Linked DNA regions of Oryctolagus cuniculus. The protein of the gene in region 1 binds, or shares a complex with, the protein of each later gene. Links are inferred from orthologs where the notes say so. Each region holds a gene or a part of one and is shown in the gene's direction. Other genes may lie near its edges.

Region 1 (3,657 bases):
GCTGATTTGAACAATTTAAGGAGTCATCATCAGTTCATTTTTAAAGCTAATCTATGTAATATTGTACCATTCTTTGTCCTCTCAAAAATTACAGTAATGAAGTGTTCTGAGCCTTATGTGCTATTTGAAGCAGTGAACCTTTTGTAATTTATTTTTCATGTGTCTTATTGACAGGTGCCAGTCTTTAGGCCCATGGATCTAATGGTCGAGGCCAGTCCACGAAGAATATTTGCCAATGCTCATACATATCACATCAACTCAATTTCTATTAATAGTGATTATGAAACTTATTTATCTGCAGATGATTTGCGGATTAATCTTTGGCATCTGGAAATTACAGACAGGAGTTTTAGTATCCATTTGTTTTCTTGTTTGACGGCATACTGTGCTCATGTTGGATTTATTTTTGTCTCTTTAATGTATTTGATTGCTCCTTTGTATGGTATCTTAGTATGTACATAATTAAACACTATAGGAAAGTTATTTGATAAAGGATAAAGAGTATAATGTATTGATGTAAAAATTAAATTCATGAAATTTTAAGGAATTTGGTGATTTGGGTTTTTATAATTTAGTGTTGAAATTTTAACTAAGAGTAATATAAATTTAATTATAAAAATATTCTTAAGATTGGAAAAAATTCTTACAAAGCATGATGTAGGATAATATAAAATTGATAGAAATACTTCTTTGAACTTCATTTTTATTATTTATATTATCCTCCTGGAAATTTTCTGTCCATATACATGTTCATGATGTTAACATGTAATTGGATACATGTATATAATATATAAGTATACAAGTGCCTACAAATACTTGTTTTTTTTTTTTTAATTTCTTTAAAATTTAAAATAAATGTTAGGAACTTTTAGTAGTTAATATGTATATTTTTGAAAATTAAATTGTTATTCTACCATCAGTGTATGAAAGACTTATTTTCTTATGCCTTTGCTATGAAGCTTTTAATTTATCTGCAGATAAATTGTAGTTCATCAGAAAATTTTCTTCTTGCATTATGAGTAGATTTGAGTATCATGTTTACTAGCAATTTATATTTCTTTTTGTTCTTTTTCTAGCTTTCCCCACTGTATTTCTCTGTGTTGTGTGTATGTGTGGTTTAAGCACCTTTTGGTGTTAACTAGGTGTATTGTTTGTGATGCAGGTAGTTTCTCTTTTTTACCCTCTTGGGGTTTTTGTTTGTTTTGGGAATTCTGTTAATACTTTAAAGGCAAATTTATAAATAACTTGTGGGATTTGTATGCTACATAGCCAGAAAGATCTTTACATTCTAAAGTGATTTAAAATTTGCAGTATTTTAGAAGATTTATCACTTTAGCAGTAAATTTTTAACTCTCTCTAGGGTTTATACTCGAGTAGAATGTAATTCCAGATAATACTTGTGTCTGGATCTGTGAGCGGATTTTGAGAAATGTAAAATTACATTTGCTTTTCTAAGTGTAAATTCCTTAATAAAATGCTATCCAGATATTGTGGATATCAAACCTGCCAATATGGAAGAACTAACGGAAGTAATTACAGCAGCAGAATTCCATCCAAATAGCTGTAACACGTTTGTATACAGCAGCAGTAAAGGAACTATTCGGTTATGTGACATGAGGGCATCTGCCCTCTGTGATAGGCATTCTAAATGTAAGTATTTCACTTTTCTTTAAAACGATGACACAGTCTATTTGTATGAAACTAACCTCAGACATGATGACTATATTTACAGAGGTTTACAGATCTTAACTTTTATACATAGGGCCTCTTTTAACCTTTATTAAACTCCCTAACTCTTCTTGGGGCATCACATGTTACTCCACTGAAAGAACATAGTAAGGCTCTCCGGGGGCGTTTCTTTTGATTCCCAATGAATATATTTTTAATGGAGTGCTTATTTTTAGGAACTTGAGGTTGAGCTTTTCAACTTTATCTTCAAATAGAGCCATTCCTTTGCTTTCATTCCCTCCCCATTCCTTCCTTTTCCCCTCTATTTTGAGCTTCCTAGGAATATTTGGTTCAGAGGTTTTCTTGGCTTAAAAAAAGCATTTGAAAACCACTCGGTTAAAAAGTTAAGGGGTTGCAGTATTCTGTTTGTATTATTGAATGTTTTTAAAACTCATGAAAATTTGGTGTGTGTGTATTAACTGAAACAACTTTATGTGGCCACCAGAAAATAAAATTGAGGTATGATTTGGATGAGTAGGATAGTGTTCTTCTTGTGGTGGTAGAGGTCAAGTCAGTTAAGTCTTGCAAAGTTGAGTCTGCCAGCCAACCTGGGGCACTGAAGACAGAAGCCCCAGCAAGTCTGGTTTTTAACCACATGACTCTGAAGAAGCTTTGAGGGAAGTTAATTGTTACAGCCAGAGAGGTATTTTTCAGTTCTTTATTAGCCTGTCATTTTATCTTGCTCTTAGGAAGTTTGTGAGTGGCTGTTTAAGGAAATGCTTTGTCTAAGCCAGAATATTGTACACGTTGCCGTTTTTTTTGCTTGTTTTTAGTGTTTGAAGAACCAGAAGACCCCAGTAACAGGTCATTTTTTTCCGAAATCATCTCCTCTATATCTGATGTAAAATTCAGCCATAGTGGTCGATATATGATGACTAGAGACTATTTGTCAGTCAAAATTTGGGACTTAAATATGGAAAACAGGCCTGTGGAAACATACCAGGTATTTGCAGTTTTCTCATTCAATGAGCATGTACCCTCTTTCATGTTTATAAAGAAGAACTTTGTACTAGGTGTACAAAATATTTTTTGTACTCACTATTCTACAGTTTTCACTGTTAGACATTTCCCCTCAAAGATCCAAGAGTGTGTTGCTTTTCCATATGTTAAATTTTGTATAACTTAAAAGATTGTGTTGTCATTCAATTTGCTGTTAACATATGATTTGGCTGTCATTTGATTCAAGAGTGTCTTTATTTTCTGCTGCGGTGTACATTTAAGGCAGAGAGAAAAGAGCATTAAAAACCAGTAAGGTCCAGGCAGGATGAGAATTGGAGAGAATGGCAGGCCTGCTTAGAGATGTGCATGCTCTGATTGGAAGATGTGCAGTAATCACTGAAGTGGAGCTTCAGTCTGGCATGCTGAGTTGAGTGAGCTCATTACTGGCTTTCATCTGATAGCTATAGTCTTAACATTTAAAGAACAAGGGTTTGAAAACCTAGCAGATGGCTAGCAGAGTTGCCTACTTGATCAATTTTAGGATGTCAGTTGTGAATTCTCTTGTCTTTCAGCTATTACCATTATTCCCTGTTCTCTGCTTCAGAAATAGAAAAGGAGTGAAAAAGCACACAATTGTCACTGAGTGGGAACAGCAGGAAGTTGTGTTAGGCCCTAGATTGGTGTAGAGAACACTTCACCTAGCCTTAGGAGTATGCAGTTCAGTTTATAGGTGATATCTTCTTAATGTGTTAGTATCTCAATAAAATTAGAATGAAGTTTCTTTCGAATCTCCTGTGATAAGCATAAACCACTCAAGATTCTTTTTAATGTTATTTGGAATTTCAAAGTAAATGCTACATTGAAACAAAAGCAATGAGATAAAATTCTGCTTTGTTTTCAAAGTACATTTGTGTAACTGCCAAGATTGATACATCTCCAAGTTATTCTCACCACCAACCTGTTGCCATTGAGAATAGTTGACTGGAATCT
Region 2 (2,524 bases), on another chromosome or scaffold:
ACGTCTTTTTCTGTTCTGAGTCACATTTAGTTGTATAAAGGATTAAAGTTGATTTTAATTTCTTTTCCATTTAGGGATATAACTGGTGCCATGACCGAAATGTAGTAACAATTTTCAGTGCTCCAAACTATTGTTACCGCTGTGGTAACCAAGCTGCAATCATGGAACTTGATGACACTCTAAAATACTCTTTGTAAGTGTTCACGCCCAGTGTTTCATCGCCATTACTGAATATTTGGTTTTACTGGGACATTTAAGGGTTTGTACAATCATGTTAAATTTTAACTTCTTCTTGGGACTTATAATATATTGAAACAGTACAGTAGAAACTAATATATTGTACACAGATCATAATATGAATTATTAGAGTTTTAACTTTTAAGATACAGTTCTTTAGTTGCATTAAAGTTTATTTAGTTGGCAGTCTCTCAAACCATCTTAGCAGGAACCCTAGTTTTTTTTTTGTTTTTTGTTTTTTGTTTTTTTTTAAGCAGAAACCCACTCTTAAGGAATATTGTTCTTAGGAAAATTATAAATTTTTTAAAAATATTTACTTATTTGCAAGTCGGAGTTACACAGAGAGAGGAGAGGCAGAGAGAGGGAGAGAGAAAGGTCTTTGAGCTGCTAGTTCACTCTCCAATTGGCTGCAATGGATGGAGCTGTGCTGATCCAAAGCCAGGAGTCAGGAGGTTCTTCCGGGTCCCCACAAGGGTGCAGGGGCCCAAAGACTTGTGCCATACTCTACTGCTATCCCAGGCCATAGCAAAGAGCTGGATTGGAAGTAGAGCAGCCCAGACTTTTCATCCCAGGGGGGATGCCGGTGCTTCAGTCCAGGGCGTTAACCCTCTGCGCCACAGCTCCAGCCCCAGGAACCATAGTTTGTAAAAGCATCATTTTTGTGGCTGAAGTTGCCCGGGCTCTTTGCAGGAAAGTGCAGTTAGAAGCTCTTTTGACTGCATGATTTAGGTATAGGTAAGCTCCTGTTACATGAGACTGACCTAGAATGGAATAGGAAAAAAATGTAATGTTTAAAAATGAATGCCAGTGATTTGGATTGCTAGTGCATGGCTGTCAGAATGTAAACAAGGAATCTCTTGTTTTTCAGCTTGCAGTTTGACCCAGCTCCTCGTAGAGGCGAGCCACATGTTACTCGTCGTACCCCAGACTACTTCCTGTAATGAAATTTTAAACTTGTACAGTATTGCCATGAACCATATGTGACCTGATGGAAATGGGAAGAGCAACAGTAACTCCAGAGTGTCAGAAAAATAGTTAACCTTCAAAAAACTTGTTTTCACACGGACCAAAAGATGTGCCATATAAAAATACAAAGCCTCTTGTCATCAACAGCCGTGACCACTTTAGAATGAACCAGTTCATTGCATGCTGAAGCGACATTGTTGGTCAAGAAACCAGTTTCTGGCATAGCGCTATTTGTAGTTACTTTTGCTTTCTCTGAGAGACTGCAGATAATAAGATGTAAACATTAACGCCTCGTGAATACAATAACTTCCATTTAGCTATAGCTTTACTCAGCATGACTGTAGATAAGGATAGCAGCAAACAATCATTGGAGCTTAATGAACATTTTTAAAAATAAGTACCAAGGCCTCCCTCTACTTGTGAGTTTTGAAATCGTTTTGTTTCTTTTCAGGGATACCATTTAATTTAATTGTATGATTTGTCTGCACTCGGTTTATTCCTTTCTCAGATCTCACCCCTGTGTTGTTCTTTGTTATTGTCAGAACCTGGTGAGTTGTTTTGAACAGAACTGTCCCTCCCTCCCGTCTTGTAAGATGATGTTACTGCACAAGGGCACTGCAGTGTTTTTCATAATAAACTTGTGAACTAAGAACTGAGAAAGTCAGATTTTAATTGTATCAATGGGCAAGATTGGTGCTGTTTATTAAAAAAGATAATTGATAAATTTGTAGAATTCTAGGTAAAGAAAAATAAAAATCAAGGCCACTGCATAATCTCTGATAACGCCTTCATATTCTTCAGATTAACTTCCGGCTTTATTTGTGTTCCGTGTAATACAGTTTGTCAGATCACTGATGGGCTCTTTGTGGGTTCCTCCTGTATGTTAACTGGTCTGTATGAAAGAAAATGTGCACTGCTTTAGTAAGACGAAATCATGCAAGTTGATTTCATTTTGGAGTAAAACTTAACAAATTAAGGGTGTATCTGCACTGCGGTTTCTGGTTATAAATATTTTGCTGTATGTATTATATGAACTCTTGAAAATGGTTGGCAGATTGGTTCGTTTTTAACAAATATTTGTACATTATTTGTGGACTTTCTTGATCTTAAATTTGTCTCAGAAAGCTATTAACGTACTAACTTGTTAAGTTCTTTTAAATGGTATTAGTGAAACCGCATAGAAAATTATTGTTGGGTCATGGTTTAGTGTTCGTTGGGTCATGGTTCAGTGTCAGTGCACGTTCACCTGGAGAGTGGCACTTGAAGTGATAGCACTCAGCATTGGATGGGTTCATCCACTTTTATCCTTTGAGTAGGATTA
Region 3 (3,365 bases), on another chromosome or scaffold:
CACAGGAAAGCTTTGTTTTTCTTGATTTATTCTTTGTTTTGTAGTACTTAACATAAAGTAATAATACTGCTTCCCTGTACAATATGACCCTTTGACAGAAACTAAACTAAATCAAGATTGGTGTCAAAAGTGAATAAGCTTGGCCATTGCCGCGGCTCACTAGGCTAATCCTCCGCCTTGCGGCGCCGGCACACCGGGTTTTAGTCCCGGTTGGGAAGCCGGATTCTGTCCCGGTTGCCCCTCTTCCAGGCCAGCTCTCTGCTGTGGCCAGGGAGTGCAGTGGAGGATGGCCCAAGTGCTTGGGCCCTGCACCCTATGGGATACCTGGCTCCTGCCATTGGATCAGCGCGATGCGCCGGCTGCGGCGGCCATTGGAGGGTGAACCAACGGCAAGGGAAGACCTTTCTCTCTGTCTCTCTCTCTCACTGTCCACTCTGCCTGTCCAAAAAAAAAAAAAGTGAATAAGCTTAAGATATTTACATTCTTGTCAGAAAATAGAATTTTGCTGTATTAAAGAATGGGATCTTTGACATGAACAGAAATTGTCATTCTAAACAGAAGATTAGGCAATAAAATACACATATATGAGGACTTAAGGAGCTTCAAATCATGTGTAACTTCGAATAAACAGGTAATCAGATCTTTCAGATTTTAACAGTGCTAGAATAATTATCTAAATATAGGCAAAGAGCTGAAGAGTTCCATAGAAGGTGACTAACTATAAATATGTCATACATGACTGGAAAGTAATGGCAAGCAAGACTCCAGAGCTGAGCTATCTTGATATTTTTATCCAGTGTGTGGGGTGTTACACATGCATCACAGCTATAATAGAGCTATCACATGGATCATTTGAAACAAGACAGAGATGACTTAAAGGCTTCTGTGCTGGGTTTCTCAGTCAGATGCTGTGTTTCTTGGTACTTGACCAGTAGAATCAGTATCCAGTTGGTAAAAGGTGAATTATTTTAAATAGCTAATTGTAACGGAGAAGTAATTTATTTAAAATTATTTCAGGAAATGGAAGATAAAGTGACTAGTCCAGAGAAAGCTGAAGAAGCAAAATTAAAAGCAAGGTATCCTCATCTGGGACAAAAGCCCGGAGGTTCAGATTTCTTAAGGAAACGATTGCAGAAAGGGGTAAGTTGTCACATGTAATCTCAAATACTTAAGCCCTGTGAACTTGATTACCATCAGGGATTGTAAAACAAGTGTGTGGCTGTATAGATCTGTGCCTTTGTGTGTATGCGTATAATTTTTTTTCAATACTTTACACTGTTCATTTCATAAATGTCTGTAGGAATCTGTAATTCTTTAACAGTTAATTAAAAGCTATTTTAAGCATGTAGGTAGGATGAAATGCTACTTATGAAAGAGAATTATTTATTGACTGAGATTCCAAGTCATACTTATCCTTAAGTTGAATGCCTTAGAAATACTAGTATTTGCTGCTTTCAAGAATGTGAATGTGCTAGCTGTAATCATATAGGAATTATTTTCCCAAATCAAATCCAAAAAGAACTAATTATTTTTAAAGTGGAAAAAAAAGAGTGGGTAGTGTTTTTCTCTTATATGAAAGAATGACATTCACAGTTTTGAAATCATGAGATGACAGGGAGAAATGATAACAAAAATAAAATGTAAAGCCTATGTGCTGTTGTGACATGTAATGCAGAGGGAAAATATTACAAAAACGAAAGTTAAAATTTATAATGCATAAAAGAGAACTTCAAAATATACAAGAACACAGTGCTCTCGGATGCAGGATTTTATATTAAAAAATACCTGTGGAGGTTGAAATTGAGTGACACTGATGCGTTCTTTATTGTGTTTAAACATTTAAAATTACTACTTCTACTTTCAGAAGGGGTATGGAGCAGAATTTACAAAAAGGTTCACTTTCTCTGAGTAATCTTTTATGAAATATCTAAGGGTATAAGTCAATATGAAGAAACATTTTTAAGTTTGGAGATTTTTTATAGCTTTAAGTATAATTAAAAGCAATAACACTAATCAACAGCAAAGAAATGGTTAAATTAATTGTGGTAAGTCAGTATTTGGTAGTTTTAAATATTTTTGGAGTTAGAAAGGTCATAAGGGATAAGTAGAAAAAGCAGAATGAAAATTTAATTTTGGGTCTAGCTATGCAAATATAAATGTACCAGTTATGAAATAAATTATATAATCTTTATTAAATTACTGGATTTCTGATTTGATTATTAGTGTTTACAAAACTATTTCTCTTTGCTATTTGTATTATACCAGAATGTCAGTAAATCCTTTTATAGGATTGAAATAAAATTTTGAGTTTTTTAAAAATATGAACTATAGGGTCCTATGTTTATGTTTTCTTTTATCAGAATAGTTAGCAAGCTTGACAAATTACCTCAGAATCTTTAGTTTTGTTGTCATCTGAGAGGGTTGGATTATATAGTATTGTATTTGTGGAATTGGTGAAGTCCCAGGGCAGCTGCTATCAAGGCAGCTGTAAATACCATTATTAAGTGTAACCTCTAAATTTTGAGGGAAGAAGACTTTTATAAGATCACCATCTAGATGAGCTAGAAAATGTTTTGTTAATTCTTAAATATCTTCACTAAGAAATTGAACAAAATTTAGACATTGACAATTGTAGTCTCTTATCTGTGAATCTCAATATGAGAAACATTAATCTAGTTCAGTACTCTACCTAAAAGCATTGAGTTTTCTCTCTGACATCTTTGTCATGTTGTCTTTATTCATCTCTCTGTGCAGATTCCCTGCCTTTTGTAGTGATTTGTTTCTTTTTAGGGAAATTGTAATTGTCAAACATTAGTTTTAGTTTTTTCTCAGGCCACACTAAGTGGATTTAATTCCTTTTGCCTAAGCAGAGTAGTCTAATCTGCAGTTAAATGAGATCCCCTTTTCATGAACTTTTGCTTACTTGTCATCAGAAACTTGAATGTATTACATCGGGGAATCTGCCTGAAATTTGTACTGTGTTAACTCTCTCACTTTGTGCTTTTGTCAGATTGCTTTGCTCTCCAGAGGCTACTGAACTCAGAAGCAGCTCCTTAATATAATACAGTGCATCAAAAGTTCTTAGATTTTTTTTTTCCTCTACCCATTTTAAAATGCAGAAATGAAGCTGCAGTAAGCCTACAAAGAACCAGATCCAAGTTTCCTTGCTACTGCTTTGTATGGCACACATACAGTGACGTAATAAAATGATTTTTTAAAAAGATTTATTTTTATGAAAGAGTTCGAGAAAGAGAAAGATCTTCCATCTGCTCACTCACTCCCCAGATGGCTGCAATGGCTGGGGCTGCGCCAGGCTGAAGCCAGAAGCCAGGTGCCAGGAGCTTCATCTTGGTCTTCCACATAGG

What was found.
Region 2: the proteins of PPP2R2A (region 1) and PPP2CA are in contact, whole or in part, in a cryo-EM structure (PDB 9C6B), measured with the Homo sapiens proteins. The link is inferred for Oryctolagus cuniculus from reciprocal best matches to the Homo sapiens genes PPP2R2A and PPP2CA. Residues at the interface, in NP_002708.1 of Homo sapiens: Tyr86, Leu87, Lys88, Ser89, Ala173, Asn174, Ala175, Glu190, Asn201, Leu202, Trp203, His204, Ile207, Thr208, Asp209, Arg210, Ser211, Phe212, Asn213, Ile214, Val215, Asp216, Met256, Ala260, Leu261, Asp263; in NP_002706.1 of Homo sapiens: Arg89, Tyr91, Val126, Tyr127, Gly128, Asp131, Arg135, Cys266, Tyr267, Arg268, Arg295, Pro298, His299, Val300, Thr301, Arg302, Arg303, Thr304, Pro305, Tyr307, Phe308.
Region 3: the proteins of PPP2R2A (region 1) and ARPP19 are in contact, whole or in part, in a cryo-EM structure (PDB 8TTB), measured with the Homo sapiens proteins. The link is inferred for Oryctolagus cuniculus from reciprocal best matches to the Homo sapiens genes PPP2R2A and ARPP19. Residues at the interface, in NP_002708.1 of Homo sapiens: Lys18, Gly19, Ala20, Asp23, Asp24, Asp29, Ile31, Thr45, Asp47, Gly49, Arg51, Val53, Phe55, Val73, Thr76, Gln78, Glu81, Pro82, Glu83, Phe84, Leu87, Lys88, Ser89, Glu91, Glu93, Tyr178, His179, Asp197, Leu198, Asn221; in NP_001293124.1 of Homo sapiens: Lys42, Pro43, Gly44, Ser46, Phe48, Leu49, Arg50, Arg52, Leu53, Lys55, Lys58, Tyr59, Phe60, Asp61, Lys75, Pro93, Asp97, Leu98, Pro99, Pro103, Leu105, Val106, Ala107, Ser108, Lys109, Leu110, Ala111.

The regions. Positions count from the first base shown.
Region 1 is NC_091433.1:47,876,536-47,880,192, reverse strand, and holds part of PPP2R2A (serine/threonine-protein phosphatase 2A 55 kDa regulatory subunit B alpha isoform), read left to right. Parts: intron 1-174; coding exon 175-352; intron 353-1,485; coding exon 1,486-1,650; intron 1,651-2,501; coding exon 2,502-2,671; intron 2,672-3,657. UniProt on the Homo sapiens protein: Substrate-recognition subunit of protein phosphatase 2A (PP2A) that plays a key role in cell cycle by controlling mitosis entry and exit. Involved in chromosome clustering during late mitosis by mediating dephosphorylation of MKI67.
Region 2 is NC_091437.1:22,493,081-22,495,604, reverse strand, and holds the end of PPP2CA (serine/threonine-protein phosphatase 2A catalytic subunit alpha isoform), read left to right. Parts: intron 1-74; coding exon 75-193; intron 194-1,105; coding exon 1,106-1,178; 3' UTR 1,179-1,912; downstream 1,913-2,524. UniProt on the Homo sapiens protein: Catalytic subunit of protein phosphatase 2A (PP2A), a serine/threonine phosphatase involved in the regulation of a wide variety of enzymes, signal transduction pathways, and cellular events.
Region 3 is NC_091443.1:75,215,576-75,218,940, reverse strand, and holds part of ARPP19 (cAMP-regulated phosphoprotein 19), read left to right. Parts: intron 1-728; exon of another isoform or gene 729-905; coding exon of another isoform or gene 906-920; intron 921-1,017; coding exon 1,018-1,140; intron 1,141-3,365. UniProt on the Homo sapiens protein: Protein phosphatase inhibitor that specifically inhibits protein phosphatase 2A (PP2A) during mitosis. Inhibition of PP2A is enhanced when ARPP19 is phosphorylated.